Pelodiscus sinensis: one gene and its partner. The protein of the gene in region 1 purifies or fractionates together with the protein of each later gene. This does not show direct contact. Links are inferred from orthologs where the notes say so. Each region holds a gene or a part of one and is shown on either strand. Other genes may lie near its edges.

The links.
Region 2: the proteins of NKX2-1 (region 1) and FOXA1 purify together in Homo sapiens (affinity purification with western blotting; 3 studies listed by BioGRID and IntAct, with this or other methods). This does not show direct contact. The link is inferred for Pelodiscus sinensis from reciprocal best matches to the Homo sapiens genes NKX2-1 and FOXA1.

What each region holds. Positions count from the first base shown.
Region 1 is NC_134714.1:47,163,559-47,175,284, forward strand, and holds NKX2-1 (homeobox protein Nkx-2.1), read left to right. Parts: upstream 1-6,427; 5' UTR 6,428-6,498; coding exon 6,499-6,865; intron 6,866-7,944; coding exon 7,945-8,615; 3' UTR 8,616-8,675; downstream 8,676-11,726. UniProt on the Homo sapiens protein: Transcription factor that binds and activates the promoter of thyroid specific genes such as thyroglobulin, thyroperoxidase, and thyrotropin receptor. Crucial in the maintenance of the thyroid differentiation phenotype.
Region 2 is NC_134714.1:46,255,379-46,267,104, forward strand, and holds the start of FOXA1 (hepatocyte nuclear factor 3-alpha), read left to right. Parts: upstream 1-6,967; 5' UTR 6,968-7,306; coding exon 7,307-7,381; intron 7,382-7,885; exon of another isoform or gene 7,886-9,837; intron 9,838-9,849; coding exon 9,850-11,112; 3' UTR 11,113-11,726. UniProt on the Homo sapiens protein: Transcription factor that is involved in embryonic development, establishment of tissue-specific gene expression and regulation of gene expression in differentiated tissues.

The DNA of each region.
Region 1 (11,726 bases):
TCCGCGGGTAACCGCTCTGAAGGTAGATCATTGGCAGGTCTAATTTGGCCTCAGCTTTAGTTTGCGTAAAAAAAACAATCAAGTCCTGCAAGCACAGGACCAATAGAAATATTCCTGTTACGGGATTACAAAATGTCAGTGACAGAGTTTTTGTAATGATCAAGAGTGTAACTGTAGCGCACGCCAGCCGGGAGGAGAAAGGAAGGGAAGCCACAAACACTACAGAAAAGCGATGCAAATAAAAAGGCGTTTGCGTGGTCCCAGCGGAGGAAGGTGCGAAGCAGAAACTGCAGCGCTCAGTGGCAAGAGTCGTCGGATTGTTTGAAATAGTCTGAGACTCATAAAAAAATAGACTTTCCATGCAGGCTTTTACACATCAGCATCCGTACAGCAAACGCAGAACGTATTGGCTAGCTTTAAACCTTCTCCGTATTTGAAGGTAAATATTTTCGGTAAGTGAAGCAAAGAAAATAGCTTTTTTGAATTACAAACTCGAAACCTGCTCACATTATTCCCGATGCAACTATTTGCCCGAGCAGGACGAAGAAGTTTAGCCACTGAGTCCTGAAAAAATGTTTTAAGCAGTCAACCAGACAAGCTCTCTTCCCCTTCCCCATTTCCCTCCAAAGCCACAAGTTTAATTACAAGCAGTGGAGAGCTGGCACCAAAACACAGACACGCAGCTACACAAGTACACCGAGATGCGACGCCGACTCTCTTTCATTCACCATTATCTTAAAGCAAATATATACCTACTGGCAACTTTCTCCCTCGGCTTCATCCTATACCTAGCTGCCCAGACAGAATCCATTTGGGAGCTTTTGCTCTGCGGGTCTGGGAAGTTTTGTACTCCAGAATGTTAAGCCTCAGCGGCTCTAAAATCTTTAGTGGGCTAACAAATCGAATTAACACTACTGGTCAGGTGTTGGGAGGAGGGGGCCGCTGCTCCAGATCTATTGCTTTCCAGATGCAGGGCTGCTGGGTGGCTCCCACCAGTGCTGGCATTTGAAATGAGGCGGGTGGAAATGGGTAGGAGTGGCAGTTATCGGGTATGGGGAAATAGTTTTGTTTTTCTGAGCTGAGTTCCCAAATACAATTGTTTGTAATAAAATCCTCCACGGACGCTAGCTCCCCACCCTCCCTAACTTGCCAAAGCTTTCCTTCCTGGGGCACGAAGGGCTGATCTGCCAGCCTGCAAAGGGCTCCCATTCAGCCCCTGATTCTGGGCTGGCATGTCTCCCTCTCTCCACCCCCATCTGCCCTTCGCCAGAGGTTAATCTCCCCTCAGCCAAGGGGCTGTCCATGTCTCCTGGGTGCATTTCCTACCCAAGGGGCAATGCGGCACCCAGGCCAAATCCATCCCAGAGCAGAGGAGGCTGCCCTCTGCAATAGCTAATGGCACCTCACAGCGGGCTGTGGGCCTGGCAGGAGCAGAGTCAGGGCTCTGGGCGGGGGTGACGAGAGAAGCGTTCTGAAGCCGAGGTGGAGGCTAAGGCAATTCTGTACCAACACTGCGCTCTAAGGAGCGCGGCGCAAGATCAGCCTGTGGGATGGGGCCAAAGGGGACTCTCCACATGGTCAGAGTAGCTTTGGAAATCCGGAACCTGCCCCCAAGAGTCATCATAGGGTCCAGGCTCAGAAAGCAGCCTCCAGTCCTGAGAGGGAGAAGTGTGGGGGGCTTTCCTTTTCATTTCCTTAGTCCTCAAAACCCTTCACTTCCACCCTGCTCCTGCCTCACTGAAGTACGCCATGGAGTGGGAGCTGTCTACGGAAGGAATATAGATTTTTCCCCCCCCTAACGACAGTTCCTCCCATCAGGGCAATAGATTTTAAGAGGGCATTTACAAGGCGTATGTGTGGAAAATAGCCTTTGCTTGCAGGGACACCCATTCCTCTTACCTTTCAACAGTAGCTGACTGAAACCTAAGAATACGTCTGTGGAAGTATCCTAGCATGATTCAACTATGCTGTTTAAACTATTCCTGCTTCTATTTCCTGCTGTACATATTTAAGTTGAAAAACAACAAATACTATTTTGGTTTTTTTGTTTTAAGTTTTCCTGTTACAGACTAACGGGGCTACCCCTCTGAATATTTAAGTTGCTCAGATATTTGGGCTGGGGAGGAGAATTCAATGAATAGACAATATATTAACAGGAAGCTGCCCCCAAAGACTAGTTCTGGATCTTCCCTTTCTTATTAACTCTCTGAAGCTAAACCAGGCTTGTTAATGGCACCAAATTATTAGCGTGAAAGGTAACACTGCAGCTGAATTGTCTTTAGATAGCTAACATTCCATTACACCGCCCCGCGCTATATCGGCAGTGGTTTCAAATGTCCATCTACTATGTATGTTCTAGGAGTAATTATTTTTATTCGTCTGCAGAGAATGTTACCTATGAGAGCAAAATTGTTCTACTTGCTCATGCATTGGCTCTGGACTCTCCTACCAAAGTTAATCACGTCTAAGCAATGAATGTAGCTCTTGATGAAAAACGTAAAGCGCCTTCCAAAGGCAAACGCAACTTCACAGAAGGCGGGCAGGTACAACGCTGCCATCTCTCATTCACTAACAGGTGGGGAAATTGGATTAGGGGTAAACCAAAGGGTAAATTGGATTGCCTTCACACCGACAGCAATATACTCTGCTGGGACCAGCAGCTTGGACTTAAGCTCTGACTTTCTCAAGTTCTGATTTCAAAACCCGTGGTGAAGAAACAAGCACCCTGTCTGGAAATTGTTGTGCACCCTTTCTGTTGGAAGAGTGGTACTAGTTTGAGACGGATCCACCAAAGTATTTGAGCACATGCTTAATGTTAAGCACGCGAGGATTGCCCTTGAAACTTGAATACTTTGCTGAATCGGCTCCTTAGTTTTTTCTCTGTTTCTACGCGGACGCCGCTTGAGCAGGAAAACCAACTGCAAAGCGATCCATTTTCGTCTTAAATGTTCAAAAGAGTGAGAGACACTTTATCTGTTAAACGAGACGCCGAAAAGCACAGAAATTAATTGTTCCCCTTCCCACATCCAGAGAAATAAATGTAGGGGCAATTCTGTCCCTTCCCCTCTCCCCCCAGGTTGAGTCTGCCTAGACTAGTTCATCTTATTCCCATTTGGGAGGCGCGCTAGCACGTATTTTAAAAAGACATTGTGAAATGTGGAGAGCCCCGGGCACACTTTAAAAAGCTGCTCCTTGAGTTCCCAACCCCCGCAATCCAGTTGATGAGGAAAGGCTCTGTGGTTTCGGTGGCACCGTTTGCATTGGGATTGGCACCGTTTGATTGACAAAGTCCCCCATTCTTCCGCATCTCGAGTGTTATCAAACGGATTGTGTAGGGTCAGAAGCTATTGAAGAACCGTCCGTGTAGCCGCCGAGAGGAGAATAAAGCATTCTGCAAACACGGGGTGAAGACGGTGGCATTCTCATGCATATGCTTCCAACAGGCGAAATGCATTTCAGCTTTCTTCTGCCTCCTCCTCCCCCTGAGCATTTCCTTTTAACTCAAGCGCTTTAGCAAACAGCAGCACCAGGTAAAAGAACACACTGCGGCCAGGCAGTTAGGTAGGCTCAGACCTGAGAGCTCAGACAGGCTGGACTTCAATTGCTCTGAAGGCAGCGCTCTCAAAAGGAGGTCGGAAAGGCGGTTTAAAAACAAACACAAAACTTTCCCGGTAGTTAGAGAGGAGGATGAACTACCTTGCTGTAATTAACGTGGGGAAAGCGGCGTCTGTGTTAGCATTCCACTAGGATAACTTCTTTTTGCTGAAAAGTGTATGCAAGTCTTATGATCCTGTGAAATAATCAATGGCGAGGAGTGTATGCTAAGTGACAACACCTTTGACCTCCGTCCGTATCAGGGACTCGGGACAGGTGTAGCAATCACATTGACTTCCCCTTCTATGATCCAGCGCAGCTCTGGAGTGATCAGCTTAATCCAACTGAGGGATATTTGGAGGCCATTCGAGGTGCATTCAGTGGGGGGGAGGGACAAATAAGAATGATTAACCACAAAAAGTTCTGAAACGGGAATCATTTCAACACATTCAAAAAGCGCATATGCCCCCAAAGCCAGTAGTCTGGTGTATGTGCAGAATGATCATGGGATAGGGCGCCCGCGGGCCATTAGGCACTACTCGAGAAGATACAGTGATATTTCGTAGGAAAGGCACAATACAGGGGATTTTTAGACGTGCCGTATGTATAGGTAATATTCTGAATAGAAAACATCGCTTTCCCCTACCACCGACCATAACTTTTTGCAATGAGTACATTGAGATTCATCGCTGAGCTGTTTGGGAAATCGGGTATAATTTAGTGTAAATTCCTTTCAAAAGATATGATTAGTGCCTGCTTACTTGCAGAACTAGCATTTGTCCATCTACTTTTTTTTATGTTTTGATCCTTTTCTAAGGTAATAAAATAGGCACGAAATGTTTGTGGATAACCCGGGGGAAAAGCTTCGAATTTGTAACTGAACATCTTCCTCCACGAAAGTATTGACATACATGTGAAATAAAAAAGACAGATCAATTCAGTTATCCTCTGGCAAAGCCATGAAAGGAAATCTTCCACGTAATTAGAAAAGAGCTAAAGACGTGGCGACGAAAACAGGACGTCTCCAAACCAGATGCATTTCTAATCAAAAGTTGTCCTGCCTTGATTCCGATTTGTGATGGGCGACACAACGGATTCTCAACACACACCCATTTCGGTATCAAGGCTGGAGATAACCTGATGCCTACTGAGGCAGAGGAACTGAGGAGCTGACTGCAGAAAAGTTCCACCGATTATATTTGTGCAGAAAAGCTCACCTCTTGCAGAGCTCTACAGTATAATCAAGGCTCCGGCTTACACTTGAAGGATGTTAATTCTCATACGGGGACCTACTTTCTCCTAAACGGTTTCTTGCCTACTGAATGAGTCTCCCAATTGAAGTAAAATGATCCTTATGTACTAATATCAAGCACAGTCACAAAGCGACTGGCCATTTATGCTGCCACTTTAGACAAAGATATTTTGTTATTCCCGGGTAGCAAGTGCACTTTTGCATTTTTAAGCAGGAACAAGCGGAGTGCAAACATATTTACAAGTGCAATTATAAAATAGTGATTTGATGCTTCAAAGTCACTAGGTTAACTGCACCATTGCTGCAATTTTCTTACTATTCAGATAATCCCTTTATTAAATTAGCTCCCAACCCTGTGGGCCATTGTGTTAAAATTCATGGAAGGGTTTTCGTTGAGTTCAGGAGAGACACTGAAATGTGTAGTTTGTAGTTGCTGTACAATTTGGAAAATTCCTTCAAAGTCTTAGCCTGAGTCACATTATAATAATCTGATATAATAACCTGAGTCACGTTAACTATTCGCCACATAGACATGTATAACTATTAATGAAGTCTGCATTCATTTAAAACTACACTGGGCAAAATACTAGAAAATTCAAGGAACCAAATCTTAGTTGGCAGGGTGAGGGGCTAGATGAGTTAATGGGTCTTTTCCATCCCTAACTTCCTTGAGTCCTAAATAAAGCTTTAAAAAAATCTTCAGATTAAGGGGTCTATCAGGGGCTTCTGACACGGCTCCTCTTAGAAAATAAAGAATGACACTTTGGTTTAGGGTATTTTTCAACTGCCTGTCACCCTCGCAAGCTTCCCTCTGCAAAGTAGGCAACACGATCTTTACGGTTTCATGTGCAGAAACGAGACGCTGGTTGTAGTGTTGCAGTTTAGGAGTTACTCTCATGTATGCTATAGAGAAACCTCCTTTGCAGCGTGGTTACAAGGCAGGTGCTGTTCACTAGCCAGCTTTCATACCTGACAATGTGCTGGACATCTCTAGGACCCTTTCGCCTTGTGTAATGCCCCATGTTGGAAACGGTGCTCAAATACGAAAGCTGGATCCTCAAACTATTCGAGGAGATATTTGTCTCTTCAATGTTTCTTTAACATCTAACTTAGTGGGGAGAGAGGGGAACTAAATCCCTTTGTTCCATAATGTTAAACTCTATAGATCCAGCTCTCACAAAGGCTGCGACTATAGTGTTAGGAGTGGGGCTAGAATTATAAATCATTTCTCTTTAACGCAGCAAATTTGCGTTGTAAAATTACATTCAATTCCCCACCCATCAACCCCCAGAAGAATAAAATAAAATTACTTGTGCTCACGGCGGCTTAAAGAAGACATTAAAACCCTGACAAGTAAAACTTAAAGGTGTTTACCTTGTCATCAGCATGTAAGCTAATTATCTTGGGCAAGATGTAGGCTTCTATTGTCTTGTTGCTTTAGTGCCTATGCCCCGCCTCTGGTGGCAGCCTAAAACCTGGCGTCTGGCTAAAACAAACGAAAGGCAGCCCTGAGCCTCCACTCAATCCAATTAAGGCGGACTTCGTCCACTCGGTTACGTGTACATCCAACAAGATCGGCGTTAAGGCAACACCAGAATATTTGGCAAAAAAGATTTGCCTCCCCTTCCCCCTTTTTTTTCAGCCGCCGAATCATGTCGATGAGCCCAAAGCATACGACTCCTTTCTCAGTGTCTGACATCTTGAGTCCCTTGGAGGAAAGCTACAAGAAAGTGGGCATGGAGGGTAGCAACTTGGGGGCTCCCTTGGCAGCCTACAGGCAGACTCAGGTTTCTCAGCCAACGATGCAGCAGCACCCCATGGGCCACAACGGGACAGTGACTGCTGCCTACCATATGACAGCGGCAGGCGTCCCCCAACTCTCCCATACCACGATGGGGGGCTACTGCAACGGCAACCTAGGCAACATGGGGGAACTGCCACCCTACCAGGAGACCATGAGGAACAGCGCTTCAGCCACGGGATGGTATGGGGCCAACCCTGATCCCCGCTTCTCTACAAGTAAGTGAGCCCCGGTACCCGCGGGGGAAACTTTCCGCGCACCTCCGGGAGCAAGCCTGCCCCAGTGTAGCCACTTGGAGAAGCCGTGTCGGGTGCGGGGTTGGGAGGGGGGGCGGAAGGCAAGGGGGGAGAGTGGCTTGAAGTCGGAATGGGGTCAGCCCAAAGGGTGGGAGCGGCAGGGCTAGCGAGGAGCCGCACGATCGGTATTTTTTGTGGTTTTGCTCCCAAAGCCCCGGTTCTGTCCGCTCTTCGCCTGTCTCCCGCTTCCCAAATCTGCCCCGGCTCGCTGTAGGAGCCTAGCGAGCCACTTGCCTTGCCGCAGGAGAACCGACGGGAGAAATGCCCCGCGATCGGAGCGATTTTACTGCAGGCGAGGCGAGCTTTGGGCGGCTGTATCCTGGGGAGGGGGGGATGTCTCTTCCCAAACCTGCTGCTGTACAGCGCGACAGCGAACGGGAAACATTGCCATACGCGCAAGAGGCGCTTTCAATACATTCCAAGCCCTTCCACCCTAAGCCCCGAATAATTCGCAGTGAAACCGACGCATCGAATTGTGCCTCAGCTCCCCCAACAAGCTTGCTTAACGCGGGGGGCACGCCGCATGCTGGAAGCGGGAACTGACATGTATTCGCTTACTCCAACTCTGCGGAGCCAGGGGGTTTCCGATGTTTCCTCCTGACCTAGCGTGGCTCGGAAGGGGCGTAATACCGGTTTGGAGATGGAAACTTGCCCTAGCTAGTGTGTGTGCCTAGGCGCTGCTTTTGTTTCGTTCCCCTGGTCCGGCTCTTGGCTACCCACAGAGCCCGTGTGTGTGTATGGGCGGTGGGGTTCAGTTATTTGCAAAGATTTTGCTCCCCGCAAATCGTTATCACAATAGCCTCATGCTAGTAACACAGTCTATACAGCCCTGCCTGGCTCGGTGGAGGGCTAGGTGGGTTTCAAAGAGCTTGGTAATGGGCAGGTGTTTGATCGGGGAGAGGATCTTGGCTGGGGAGCCGACAATCTACACGCGTTTCTCGTCCAGGCAGCGCCGGGCCTCTAACCGTGTAGCTTAAAATGTGTGATTTTCTTGGTTTTAGTATCCCGCTTTATGGGGCCGTCTTCTGGAATGAACATGGGCGGCATGGGGAGCCTGAGCTCACTTGGAGACGTTAGCAAGAGCATGGCCCCTCTCCAGAGCACGCCACGGAGGAAACGCAGGGTCCTTTTCTCCCAGGCCCAGGTTTACGAGCTGGAGAGACGCTTCAAGCAGCAGAAATACCTCTCAGCTCCGGAGCGAGAGCATTTGGCCAGCATGATCCATCTCACGCCGACTCAGGTCAAGATCTGGTTCCAGAACCACCGCTACAAGATGAAACGCCAGGCCAAAGACAAAGCCGCGCAGCAGCAGATGCAGCAGGACAACAGCGCCTGCCAACAGCAGCAGTCCCCCAGGCGAGTGGCGGTGCCCGTGCTTGTAAAGGATGGCAAGCCGTGTCAAGCGGGCTCCAACACGCCAACGGCAGCGATCCAGAGCCATCAGCAGCAGGCAGCGACAGCCATCACGGTGGCTACCAATGGCAACAGCCTTGGACAGCATCAGAGCCACCAGACAAACAGTGCGGGGCAGTCTCCAGACCTGGGACAGCACTCAGCCAGCCCTTCCTCCCTCCAGAGCCAGGTCTCCAGTTTGTCTCACTTAAACTCTTCTAGTTCTGACTATGGCACGGCCATGTCCTGCTCTACCTTGCTCTACGGTAGGACCTGGTGAAAGGATTTTTTTTTTTTTTTTTGGAAAAAAGCTCAGATGCTCCGAGTCTCACAGATCTCTACCCTGTTCAAACGCTTGTTTGATTTTATTTTTTATTTTTACTTTTTCACGAGCGGTTCTCCGAGGAACCCCTAGCAGAGAGAGAAAATGACTTTGTAGGTTGGGAAATGGGTATTTTTTAAAAAAAATAGATCACGACGCAGTTGCAGAATGGAGACCATGAATGACCATGGTTCGGAGGCTTGGATTTCAAATGTACAGTTTGCCAGCGAATAGAACTTGCATGTAAATATAGAGATTTTCGGGAGGGAGGGGTGGGCGTTCCCCCAAAACACCATTAGTGTCGCCCAGACAAAAGGAAAGCCCCCCCCCCATCCCAGCAACCAGGGCCCGCCGATGGAGATATTGATTCGTCACAGCTTGGCATTTCTCCCCCACCCCTTACTTTTGATGTGAACCTGTAGCTGTATAATGCTGTCAAAAGTTGGACTAAACCCATAGTTTTTAGTAACCTGTATATTTTGTTGTAAAGAAAAATAATACAATCAACCAAATCAAACCAAAACACACCCGACCTTTTTTATGGACATTGAACGATCCGTGTAAATCCTTTGGCAGTTTGTTATTTCCGCACGTCTCCTCTTTCTGTTGTAAACTTATGTAGATATTTGGCTTAAATATAGTTCCTAAGAAGCTTCTAATAAATTATACACATTGCAAATATTCTTATTATTATTATTTTCCTTTGCTTTCCCCTTATATCTCTCCCTCTCCCCCACCCCAGAAAACAAATAGGGATGCTAATAAATATTGACACCAAAAGCAAAAAGGCTCAAATCTTGCAGGAGTTCGGGCCACTGGTTTCACTGGGAAGCAGGATTAGGCCCATGTTTTGGAGAGAGATAAGATTACTCTAGTCCAAATGGAGGAATCGACCCCCGGAATTCATTAGCCCGACATCAAGCTAGGGAGCACATGGCTATTGACAGAGAAAGGAAAGTAGTCCAGAAGCAGAGAAGTTAAATGTGTATGGTTATTAGAAACAAACTAAGGAGTAACGCACTGACAGGCTAGAAAATGCAACCCTTTTAAAAAGCGTGTCCAGTTTTAATAACTTGTGCAAAAATAATTTCTACCAGGTTTTCTTATGTACTTTGTATTTTAAGGAAAGTACAGTCACCTTATTTATAATCAAAATAAAATGATAGATTATTGTGTACGGCGTATAGTTTGAATTAACTTTTTTCATACAATGTATCTGTGCACACACAGGCGCACTTGCATCACTTTTGTCCTGCACCTTTCATCCTGACAAAACAGGCAGAGGAACTAGCTTGCTACTTTGCTGCGGGTGCTTTGCTCCGGTGGCTGGACTAGGCTGTAAAGAAATAGGCAAGAGAAAGTGTGTGTGTGTGTGCGTGTATGTGTGTAGGTGAGAAACATAGCTGCATTTATTAGTGAGGTAAACATTATAGGGAGTTCAAGAGAGCTAGTGTTAACTTCGGGGTAAATAGACAAAGTAGATATTCCACTGAATAATCAACAAATAAGTTTCATTCGCAAGATTTTGGGCCAATATTATTCCTTTTGGAAACTGGAAATCCAAAGTTAGTCTTTCCCATCAACATAAGGACCTCATACGGTCATTTTCTCCAAATCGCCTTTTTAGTAGTAATTTTCCCTCCGATTTTTTAATTAAAATGCGGGCATAAATCTCATAATGGAAAGATCTCTGAAACGCCGAGGAATCCTGAACCAGTTCCTGTTATCTGAGACGGAGCGAGAAAGGAGGTAGCCAAGAGTGGAAACAAACACCTCTGCAGTTTTTGTAGCAGCACCGGAGAGCTCTGTCATACTATTTAGACAAGCTATTACTCAGAGCTCGGATAAGAAAAAGGAAAGAGACTAAAAAGATTATCGGATCCTTCTTTTAAACTGGAGGACATCACGTGTCAGAGAGAATTTGAAGTCTGTCCATTTTTATAGTATTCCGTAAGTGGATAGAGGAAGATTACCAAATGGGCTCGAACATATTTTAACGTTACTATTTTCGCGTCACTTTTCCTCTACTAGGAACATTAATTTAAAGTTTATAACTAGCATTCAGAGAGCCCAAAACGGAGTGCTCGGTGCTGTCGATTAGAATAGAAATACATCGGGAAACTGGAATTTCTTTTAAGTGTAAAACTTCTGTGCTTACGTCCTGGTCCAAGGAGAATCGGCGTGAGATCTGTGCATGATTAATGCCATACATTTATGAGCAGGTCTTGTTCCATTCTCTCTCCAAATTTTAAAATACACGCTTAAAGTGTGAAAATGCGGTGTTTAAATCAACATGTCTCCCCTCTTGAAATGTATTTTAAAATCCTTCAAAAATAGGTAATTTTTAAAACTCCAGCAGATCTAGGAATAACTGTGAAATCCTAGAACTATTTTCATGGAATGGAGAAATCAAACTGGCATGTTTAGTGTGGAACTAGCTAGAGACTTAACATAATAGACTTTGGGCAATAAATGAATTTTATTGTATCCAGACAACCTCATAAACACATTTGATGGTGGGTGTAATTACTGTAATGGATTATTATGTACACTGGCTTATCTTTCTTAAACTAAATTTAGTTTCGATTAAATAAACTCGTTTCCACTTTGTCTGATGTCGGCTTAGTTTAAAGTCTGTTTGCTTGTTCCACAGAAAAGTGAATTCATCTCTTTATAAAGCACTAGGGACCAGGCAAACACAATTCAAACTATATTTACATATCAATCAGGAGAAATGCAAACAAACTGCCTCTTTAACAAATTTATAGCGTTTTTTTATGACACCGTATTATTGCCTTTTATCATAGACTCCTTTGTACAGCCAGTTATGCCTTCATTAAGATCAAGATATTCCAATGACTTAGAAAACATTTAATCGAAAATGTCTCTTGAGCAGACTCACGGGAATTTACCCACCGTATAGCTTTCCTAAATTAAAATATAGGCTACTATGCAAACCCTTGCCTCTTCTCATGCACCGATTTTCAGTCGCTTGTTAATCAATGCAGAACTGGAATAATGGGAAGTTAAAAAGGCGGGGGTGGGGGAGAAACCAGAGCCGGGATCAAA
Region 2 (11,726 bases), about 910 kb from region 1:
AAGCCCATCCTTCCCTCAATGAGACTGCAGCCACAGTCCATTCTGCAGCTTGTGGTCATTGTGGTATGGAATTATTTGATTTATTATGGCCTTTGAAGTTGAGTCAACCTTTCTCCAAGAAATTCAAATTTTTGCCTGGAGAACTACATATATTGTCAATTTAACAAGTCCCTTGTTAGAGCTAAAGATCCAGTTCAATAACAGTTTTTTCACTTCCTTTCTTCTATGCTGAAAGCCCCACCTAAACCCTGAAAGGTCATGTTTGTTGTTTGTGTTGGATTCCACAAGTAGGAAACTATAGGGATTTGTGTATGTTTTACCTAAATTCACTACTTAGCTACTGCTAGTATGTTACTATGACTCCAGAGACAAGGAAGGTTAGGTAATACCTTTCACTGGACCAGAGTCTGTCTGTAGGTGAAGCAGACTATCTTTCCAGCTCCCACAGAGCTCCTTGGTGAAAGTTTGTCTCTTTCACCAACAGAAGCTTGTCCATAAAAGTTATGATCTCACTCACCTTGTCTCTAATATCCGGAGACCACCAAAGCTACAGCAACATTGCAAACAGTTATGACTCTGGTAACTTTTCAAAGTCAACAAAGTGTTTTTGAACAATGGATTGGTGAAAATGGGTACAGGGCAACCAATATACAAGCTACATGTTTATTTTTATAGATTCCATAAATTATAATATAACTATTGCACCCAACATTCAAAATAAATGCTTTCTTTTTGACACTGATGGGAAAAAACAATATATTTTAATAGGTCTGTCTCCATACTTCAATGATCCACCCCAGACCATGTATAAATGTGGGCATCCTGACAATTTGAACTATCCAAACAGCTTGTATATATCTAGCAGCATTCACAAAAATTAACTTACAGTATGCATTACATAGTTTACCTGCATTATAAACTATTTAACAAAAATATGTTGCTTTAAACAAAGAAAACATACATTTTCTCATTATCCAATTGTCTTTGTGGCCAAAAGCAATGATTGGACAGTATTTATTTGTCATTTTAATTTTAAAGATTTTTTCCTCCTTACCTGGTTTTAGTGCACAGATATTTTCTAATCTGTTTTAGAGCAGGAATTGAATGATGTAAGGAAATGTATTCTCACGCATAAAAGAATGGATTCTATCACATCAATACAAATTATGGGACCAAAACCAAAAAAACAAACCAACAAAAAATCCTGGCAGTGCAGCATCGCTATGACAATGCACAGAGCGATATCTCCTGTGATTGTGTAAAAGAACTTTGTAACAGGGCTCGGTTATCATAATCAGGCAATTATAGAATCCGGAGTTGTTAGGGACCGATCCTGAGCGCCTTCTTAGCTGTGTTGTGGTCTTTCCCCTTCCTCCTCAATAGTTCATAAATCTGATGGACCGGATCCTGTTTTCACTGACTGCAATAGCAGCAGGATCGAGTCAGGTGTAGGCGATTAACTTATCGGTGCTCCTGTAACTTGCAAAATAAAGATCTCGGGAACCCCTAGTACAGCTGATGGAAAGAACTGTAGTGCGGCTGAGCTACAGTTTCTTTGCTTCCTCTATCAGGAAAACATACTCTAGATCCATTCGGACAATCTATCAGTCACACACCTGGCGCGACAAAAAATGGGGGTAGGAGAGAAGGGTGGAGGCGAAAACACTCGAATTCCTAGGTGACATTTGTGTTAATTTTATAAATTAACACAAATTTATAAATTGACTTCCTGGCAATTCTCCAGAATCCTGATCTGGGTATAGTTAATTACTCAACATTAATAACACATAGTTTCAAAAATATTAACATTTTTGTAGAATTTCTCATATAATTTGTCCTCCATTTACTTTTGTATAGTACCTCTTTAAAGGAGTGACTAGATTGTTTGTATTGTCAGCGTCTGGGAGTTGACAACAGTACTGCTTTAATCCTGCATCTTGCATTAGATTGAAATTAAAGGTAGAAACATCGATTCATTTGAATAGCTGAATAGAGATTCATTTTTCAAATGCATTGTTTTATTTGAAATGGGCTTTTTCCTGTAGACACCACAGGAGATAAAGGAGTCAATTCAGAAGGAAAAAGAGTCCAGACCGTGTGGATGGGATCAGGAACCATTTTAGTGTCGTTATATGTCACTTAGTAAGTGATTCACAATACACTACATTTAAAATCTACTTTAAGAGGAATACGATTCTTTTTGCAGGTTAGCGGGATAAACAAAACCAGCAGGAGTAAGGGGGGAAAGACACTTCATTTCGAGGCAGATCATTAGTTAAGGAAAAACTACTCGACTGACAAAATCCGAGGCAAGAAAAGTTCACGAGGAAAAGACTAGAAGCCACTGTTGACCCAATAAAGTGTTCTTACCTGTCTAGGCAAGTACATTTATCCCAAAAGAGAGGAAAGTAAATGCAACCTTATCAAATCTCACCTGTTCGTGAACTCCTGCTGAGCGACTGAGAGCTCAACCCTTAAATCAAAGCCAGTATCGAGAATGGCTATCTGCGTCAGAGGCATACTTTCAAAACACAGAGCTTCCAGTTGTTGGGCTGGCAGGAGAGGTGTTAAAATGCACGAGGCTATCTATTTTGCCCCCAGAAATATGCTGGGCCCTTTCATCGCTGTTTATATTTCAGTCAATGCTGCCAAGTCCCGAAGTGGTTCTATTATGTCTAGATCCGTCCATAAAATTGCATTTCGTCTTGGTACTTACCGGTTTCTTCGTGGAAATCAGAAGCTCTTTACATTAATCGAAGTACATGCTGGGAGTGAGAAAGGAGGATTCAGGCTTTCACAATCTGTGTTGTCTCTGTCCTGTATTTAAAAGAAACGGGTGCTGCACCCTGCGATCTGACAACATCGGGCTTTTCGTTGGATTATTTGTTTTATTGACATTGGTGTGCGGTTTTGTGTGAAATTAGAGTAATAGGATTTTCCTGTTTCTGCTTCATCTCTTCTGTAGAAAAAAAATGAAGCTTCTTTAGATAGATAGATAGATAGATAGATAGATAGATAGATAGATAGATAGATAGATAGATAGATAGATAGATAGATAGCCATCACCAAGTTTAGTCCAACCTACTTTAACACACCCATAATACTCTAATAATATGGAAATCCTTTCTGATAATGACCAGTTCTATGTGCAGTTCTGCAGTTAAATGTATATAGTAAAATGAAACGAAGTCTGTACAATTAACACAGAAGAAAAATGTCCCTAGCTCCATGGAAAGAGACAGATGATTGGAACAGCTTCACGTGTCAGCGATATGTCCCTTAACAGAAAATCTCTTTAATGTCGATACAAATATCTTATTTAGCTAAAACCAAGTGGCCACTTCAAATTAAACCTGAAGAATTACCCGTAAGTCCCGTCTGCATCAAAGGCAAAGATAAATACATTAAACGGCAACGTTTTCTAGGAAAAATGAACAGTTTTTTCTCTTTTAAAAAAATCATTCTTAATAATTTTGTTTCTGTGTTTGTTGCAGTTTGTAGGGGGGAATGAATCTTTGGGGTGGCTGGACTGTCCAGATGATCCAACTTTCATATTTGGTAAGTGAGCATGAATAGAAAACACTAATTTCCCTTACTTTTATTCTTCAATAAATGAGATGACAAATACTCCAGAAATCTGCCACCGTTCCCTTTGTTCACTGTCATTATCTCCCTACCTGAGGCCTCCCTGGAATACCCTTACTCAGAAATACTGCGCAAACTGGCTTCAAAAATTGTATGTTTTTCATCACGTAAGTGGGATGAGTTGTGACTCTCTTATAATAATAGCTCCAGCTAACGTCGGTCTCTTTTCTATTTCCCCTTCCTAATTTGCAACATCCTCCGGTTTCTGATGCAGAGAGACCACTAAACGGAATTGAAACTCTGGTCCCCATTAGACATCCGAGAGCAGAAGCTCTCTCTGTTCTGTGTCCCCGTCCTGTGACTTTGCAAAACGAATGACAGTTGAAGCAAATGATTTCAGGGAGTCATTGTAAATAGTTACAATCAGCTGTGGTGCACTAAGAAGAAAGGATCACTATACTGGAACCAGGGCTATACTATTCTAGCCTAGCAAACACACTTCGGCAACTAGACTCATCCCAAGAGGTTTGATCCGGAGTCACCCACGCACTTCTTAAGAAGAGTCTCCGTTCCTTCCTGCCCAGAGAGTCTTCAAAGTATGGCCAAATGCGGCTGACACCCAGATCGTCGGGCACATTACATAGAGTTTCAGCAGCTAGCTGGCTAGAAATGTACTCTTTTTAAAACGGTTCACAGCCAAAGCCACCGTTTACTATTTGCAAACACCCGCACAAATAACCGCCCCGATCCTCGAGCTTAGATCCACTGCTAAATTGCAGTGAAAATCTGTCTCTCAAACAGCAGGCTGCAGTGCTGTAAAGAGGAGTGGGCACTGAGGGAATTTCCAGTAGCTGCTGATTCTCTGCCTCAGGCAGCTTGATTTGTCTAAGTAAGTGAAAACTGTTGTAAGAAGATTATAAACTGCAGCTATTCATGTGGCATTGTACCCAGTAGCTGTGTGTAAAACAGGTATGTGAGTTTGGCATAGCAGCTGGACAACAGGAGGCGCTGTGACTTTGTACAAACAAGTCTCCTGTACACGTAGAAATTCAGTGAAACAAAATTGTCTTACAATTACCTTTCAGCAGAGGAAACCTACTCTTTAAAAAGGGGCTGAATCTTTAATCAGGGTGGGTTGTGTGTGTTGATATCATTGCCTATGGCTTTTGGAAGGCCAGAGAATGTAATTTTAAACAGCTTGACTTTTGAGCTAGCTGATACACTTTGCCTTATAACGTTTCTATATAATTTTTGCGAACGTATCCAGTAGACATGTGGCGGAGACAGTTTCTGATCTCTTATGAGAGCTAATATATTAGGCGGCTGTTTTCACTAGAATTACATTGCTGCGGAAAATAGGATACTATCTTGCTTATCTCACACAAACAAAGAATAGTTTGTGGCACAATCACGAGAAAAACAGAGGACCCCTTGCTGCTGAGAGCCCCGCACGGTTTCATAGGGCATTCGTGTATATTTTGACCTGGTATGTTGTCCAAACAGAACCAAAAATATTGAAATAAATAAGTGACTCAAAAAGTACTAATTTGTGTTATAGATAGACTGATCAGGTCATAGATAGATAGATAGATAGATAGATAGATAGATAGATAGATAGATAGATAGATAGATAGATAGATAGATAGATAGATAGATGCTGCATTCTTTGATTATGTTGTCTATTAATACCTTCTATGTGGATTTTGTTTCAAGATAAATCTTTTATTTACAGTGTGACCGTTTTAAAAAGCGGATTGTAATCCAGTGCTTTTATCCTTTTGTTTCTTTAACGGCACGTTTTCCTCCCTTGTTCTCGCCTGCTGATTTCATAGTTTTGTTTGTTTCGAAGATTTAACTTAACTCTGTTGCCAGATTTAAAGAAAAAAAGGGGAAGAAAAAGAACAAAGATATGGATAACAAAGGACGCGTTTACGAGACAAGTTAAAACATATTTCTCAAAGCAGAGATATTATATGTGAGACTATGTGTATTATAATGTTAATTTATTCTGAGAGACTTTAATGTGAAACGTGCTTAATTTGTGATGCACAAGAATTTGTCACACTATTAGTAAAAAAACCCACAAGGACAATTAAACGAGGAAGCAACTAAAAGCCGTTGTGTATGTCCCATCTGATAAACACCATGTACAGAAATTCAGTTCACTAGTGTATTTTTAATGTTTGTTACGATTCGTATCACATCGATTTTCAAATGCCCAAGAATTGTAAGGTGGTTTATTCTCCTTCCCTTAAACTCCCCCGAAAGCTTTTTACTACGAAGTAATACAAGTTCTGTCATCGGGACAAACATAAAGGATGTTGCTAAGAAACCCAAAGACGTGTCTACGATCTTGACATCAGATCAGAGAATCACAAAAGGTGGAAATTTAAAATGATATCTTAGTTCCCCTCCCCTGCAAGAGCGGGGTAGATTGCCCAAGAGTTTTGCTCAGTGTAGTTTTGTTTGTTGTTACTGACCAATTTCAACTTTTAGCCAAATATGACCATTGTGAGGCACCCCCATTTCTTGAGAGAAATCAGAGTAATGCACAATTAAAGTTACTAGTCAGGCATCCGCTGCTTATTATTATCACTGTGGCTGGGTGACTATTTCCAAGCAAGCTTATGGGATGAATACTTTCTATAACAAGGATAGAAAATGGTTTCAGTGACTCACCTGATGTTTGTCACATATAGGTTAATATCAGTGGATCCGCATTCAATCCGGTGTTCGTGTTTATTGGGTGGCTTAACGTCATGCCTCACCGCTGTGACTCACATGGCATGATTTCTGAACGTAAGAAACAGCAAAAGAGAAAAATAAAACTTACAGCTACATAGAAGCCTTGTATAGAGGAATGGACTGGTCTTAGCCCATGAACATGTCAATAGAATTTTGGAAACATATGGCAGAGAACATAGATTGAAATTGGAAGCGCCAAAGTTATTTGCTTTGGTGAGTGGGGGGGGGGGGAGAGGAAGGTGAAAAGTGCTGTATAATCTTAAGACTAGTTCTCATATCTTGGGTGTATGTTGGCTACTTTGAATACTTTGAAATGCCGGTCGCCACGTTAAATGAACATCTACTGCACTTTAGTAAATACGGCTCCCAAATCTCCGAGTTCGGAGGCTGGGTGGCCTTTTGAATTCTATACAAACAGCGGGGGTTGCCCTTCCTTATCGTCTTCGTGTAATTTCCAGCGATCCCTGCTAGCATTTCTACTGGCCATTTGAAAAGAGGGTATTTTCCTTTCCTACTCTTTCTCCCCCCTCCCTCCTCCCACCTCTGTCTCTCCTTCTTTCCCCGTAGCTTAAACCAATTACACTGCTTTGCAAATAAAGTGACGCCCCGGGGGAGTTGCAAGCGAGTGGAACTGCCTTGTTTGCAGGTGCATCTCCGGCTTTGTAGGTGCGAACGTCTTTGTGCGGCGGACAAATGGGGAGAGGAGGAGGAGGAGGTGGGCACTTCTGCGACGTAAGATCCACATCAGCTCAACTCCACTCACATCCCAGCCGGCACTTCCTCACTTTCTCAAGTGTCTCGCCCCACACCGCTGCCTGCCTCTTTTTTGGCTGATTGTAGACCACAGCTCAACCCCTCCTCCTTCCCCCCTCCCCCCGAGATTTGGCTTCCTGCTAGTTTGGGGCTGTCACGCTCCCTTTCCTGCTGCCTGTGGCTGGGAGAGAGGCTGGATGGTTACACCGGGCAGGTTGGCTCCATGATGTTAGGGACTGTGAAAATGGAAGGGCATGAAACTAACGACTGGAGCAGCTACTACACCGACACGCAGGAGGTGAGTGAATCCAAGGAGCTCGCTTGTTTGCTGCCCCGGAGCCGCTGGAGCTGGCGCAGGGGGAGGAGGGAGGGCTGGAGTGTGTGTAACAATATGGGGAAGAGGGTTGCACTCCAGATCCTGCCAGTGCAGACGTGCCTTTTCCACTGAAGCCGGCCAAGCAATAAAGAAATCGCCAGGGTTTCCCTCAACCCAATGGCGCTTCCGTGAAAACGGGGCCGCTGCTTGTGCTTGCAGTGAGTGGGAGTGCGGGGGAGGGGGATCGAGCTCGTGTAAGAGGCGTCATTTGTACTTTTGCACACACACACAAAAGCGCCCCGTAAACTCTCGGCTTGGCGCAGAGGACTGTGCCTGAGCCCTCGCTCCCGCAGCCCAGGGCTCTCCAGATGGTGCACGGTGTGAGGGCCACGAGTTGCAAAAATCCTTGGCAAATACTAGCGCCTTCCCCCGCCGTGGGCGAGTTTCGGTTTTAAGGCCTTTCCCCACAGCTTCCTACGGCCTCACCTGTTAATTCTGGTGCTTTACTGGGCAAAATAACCAGTCGTTTGTCCTTTGCAACAAGATTTTTGAAACATGGCAGTGCTTCTTCCTGGGACCGGAGGGTGGCGCTGCTGAGAGTCTCCTCAGGCGGGCCCGGGGGAACCTGTCTCTTTCTCCATCCCCGTCGCATTTCCATGTTATTCTTGTTTTTACAATATGCTCAGAAGGAACAGAAAGAAAAGATCAAACATAAGCAAATGGACAATGATAGAGGGCAAATAAAGCACCAATACGGAGTGAATTGCCTCCCCTTGGAATATGGATTGAAACCCAACAGGGATTGCTGTTTGCACATTTGTGGATGTGACCGTTTAGCTCACATTGGAATATTTGTGAGAAACAACACACTTAGCATTAAACAAGTAACAGAGAGAATATCCAAAGTTATGCACAGATTAGTACGCAGAAAGGAGACACTTCATAGTAGAATTGTAAATGCGTAGGGTTAAGATGCGGGATATATATATACTAAATATTTGCGCACACATATAGGAACAGTGGGTGCATGGGTGTTCCCATACACTTATTTTTTAATGTTGAAGGGGCAGATGAAAACCATATTTAGCTTTTCTGTATTTAATATTCCCTACCATAAAGTTTTGGGAGCCTTCCTATTACTATGTTAGCGACAATTGCTTGTCCTTATTTGCTACTATAATATATACACTGCATAGATTTTTGTAAGGGAAACGCCTTCTTGTTTTAAACTGTTCCGTGAAATAATTATCTCAATATAAAATAAAACCAGGATTTTAGGAGACAAACGGCATGATTGCTTATAATAAGGAGCTGCAAATTCTACAGTACATCAATAATAATTAAACATAGCTTTTACTTAGCAGAATTCTATTTGTTCACTCTAAATTGTAAATGAACGAGAAAGGCCTTGACCTTATTTCTATCCAATTAAGATGTATTATTGCTTTATATTCCTTTAGTAATTTTGGTGATATATTTTATAATAGTTCAGAAATGTGTCTCAATCGTATTTTTATTGCACATTAGAAGATTATAAAAAATCATAAGGAAACAATATAGAATTTAGCGTATATATATTTTGGGAAATGTTTTTTGATGTTAGGTTAAATAATGTGACACAGATATTGAACAAAACGGTCCACGTGCTGTCTCTCAGATTTATAAATAAAATATGGTCTAAACGGGGGAATAGCTGAATTTCTTTTAATGGTATATTATTAGTTTGTTTAACAAAAACAAATCAAATACGTGGCAGCCATATGTATGATGATGCTTTGTAGGAAAACCTAGACAATTTAATTCTGCCTTGTCCAAAATTTAATCAGAAAACGCACAAGTTTGTTCATATTTTTGTATTAGGTTTTTATTAGCTAATCAAACATTAAGAATATGGGGAGAAATAAGAGGAACATGTAACTGGTTTTAGACAATCGCTTTACATTATTTGTAAGCATGGTGTGTGCATGACTTGTTTTGATATGAAAAGGTGAGATTGTACTTTTAGCGTGACTTAGTAAGATAAGTGCATGCTGCATCAGTCGCCGGAGATACAAATACAGGCGCTTTTTCCAAATAAGTACTGAATAAAATATTTAGCTTTCTCACCCTGCTACCGTCTGCATGAAACAGCGGAGAATAAAATTAGCAGTTTCCGTAGTATAGTAATAGACACACTATAAAGGCAAAAAGGTGTTCATGTTGGCTGGAGGTTTGTAAGATACATCAGAGGTGTATATATTATCACTTTGTATTTGTAAATAGGCTGGAGGTAGATCGCCTCCAGAACGGCCGTGGTAACTTCCTGGAGGTCAGGCGACGTTACTGCTCGGTGTAAGGCCGGGAGACGTTTCCCCTCTTGTGCAAGGGACTCCGGGGATTCGCTTTCATAAAAGTGGTTCGTGTCCTTCTCTCGTGCTCACCGCCTCTCTTCATCTTGTGTCCCTGTCTAGGCCTATTCCTCAGTTCCCGTCAGCAACATGAACTCCGGCCTGGGCTCTATGAACACCATGAACACCTACATGAGCATGAACACCATGACCACGAGCGGCAACATGACATCCAGCTCCTTTAACATGTCCTACGCCAACCCGGGGCTTGGGGCCGGCCTGAGCCCCGGCGCCATGGCAGGCATGTCGGCGGGCTCCAGCAGCGCCATGAACAGCATGACGGCAGGGGTGGCGGCCATGGGGACGGCGCTTAGCCCCACCGGCATGAACGCCATGTCCGCCCAGCAAGCCTCCATGAATGGCCTGAGCCCGTACGCCAGCATGAACCCCTGCATGAGTCCCATGGCCTACGCCCAGTCCAACCTCTCGCGGAGCCGGGACACCAAGACCTTCAAGCGAAGCTACCCGCACGCCAAGCCGCCGTACTCCTACATCTCGCTGATTACAATGGCCATTCAGCAGGCGCCCAGCAAGATGCTGACGCTGAGCGAGATCTACCAGTGGATCATGGACCTGTTCCCCTACTACCGGCAGAACCAGCAGCGCTGGCAGAACTCCATCCGCCACTCGCTCTCCTTCAACGACTGCTTCGTCAAGGTGGCCCGCTCGCCCGACAAGCCCGGCAAAGGCTCCTACTGGACCCTGCACCCCGACTCGGGCAACATGTTTGAAAACGGCTGCTACCTGCGCCGGCAGAAGCGCTTCAAGTGCGAGAAGCAGGCGAGCAACAAAGCCAGCGCGGAGGGCAGGAAAGAGCCCCCCGGCGCCTCCCAGTCCGGCTCCAACTCCCCTTTACACCGGGCTCACTCGAAACCCGCCCCGCTAGAGTCCGCCAGCTCCATCCCCAACCCCAACCCCGCCGCCAGCCCCCACGCCATGGACCACACTGGAGCGAGTACTGAGCTTAAGACCTCGGCTTCCGCGGCGTCCTCCACCCTCAGCTCCGTGCCCTCCCTGGCGCCTGTCCAGCACCCGCCGCACTCCCTAGCCCATGAGCCCCCGCTCCACCTCAAAGGCGACCCCCATTATTCCTTCAACCACCCCTTTTCTATCAACAACCTCATGTCCTCCTCGGAACAGCAGCACAAGCTGGACTTCAAAGCCTACGAGCAGGCGCTGCAATACTCTTCTTACGGGGCTGGCATCCCGGGCGGGCTGCCCCTGGGCAGCGCCTCCATGGCCGGGAGGAGTAGCATTGAGCCCTCCGCTTTGGAGCCTTCCTACTATCAAGGTGTGTATTCCAGACCCGTGCTAAACACTTCTTAGCTCCGCTCGGCCCACCTCGCGGGGCGAGTCCGAGTCTCCCCCTCGCCAGCCCGGGAACCAAACTGTCCCATTCCCGCGCGCTTCCCGCGTAAGGACTGTTACTTTCTTGTTGTGTTCACACGCCGTGGGTACGTTGTTCGAAACCAGGAGCGCCTGCAAAGCGGAGCGACCCCCCCCCCCCCCCCTCTGTACATAACTCCTCGCTCCCTCTCCTCTGCCCTTCCAAAGATCGCTGTCGCCTTTGCCGGGGGTTGCTTACGAGAGAGAAAGAGAAAAAAACCGATTGTTGGGCTTGTAAACTATTTGTTTGTGCTTTCCATCCCTACCCACTGCCCCCTTCTGTGCTCTATAATCTCATGCAAGTTTACAGGTATGTGGCAATACTTTTAACAATACGGAGATGAAGAAGCAAGCAAGCAGACGTATACGGTTCTCTTTTTTAATTAAGAAGGTCTGAAGGACAATACTGCTGTGAAGTCGCAAAACACTAATCTCTAAGCAACAAGAAAGCTATTTACTTTCTCAGATTATCCTTTTGACACTGGCAAAATACTCTTCGGTTAGTAGAACACGCATGCACAATTGCCCTGGGACGAATCCTGCACTCTCATTGA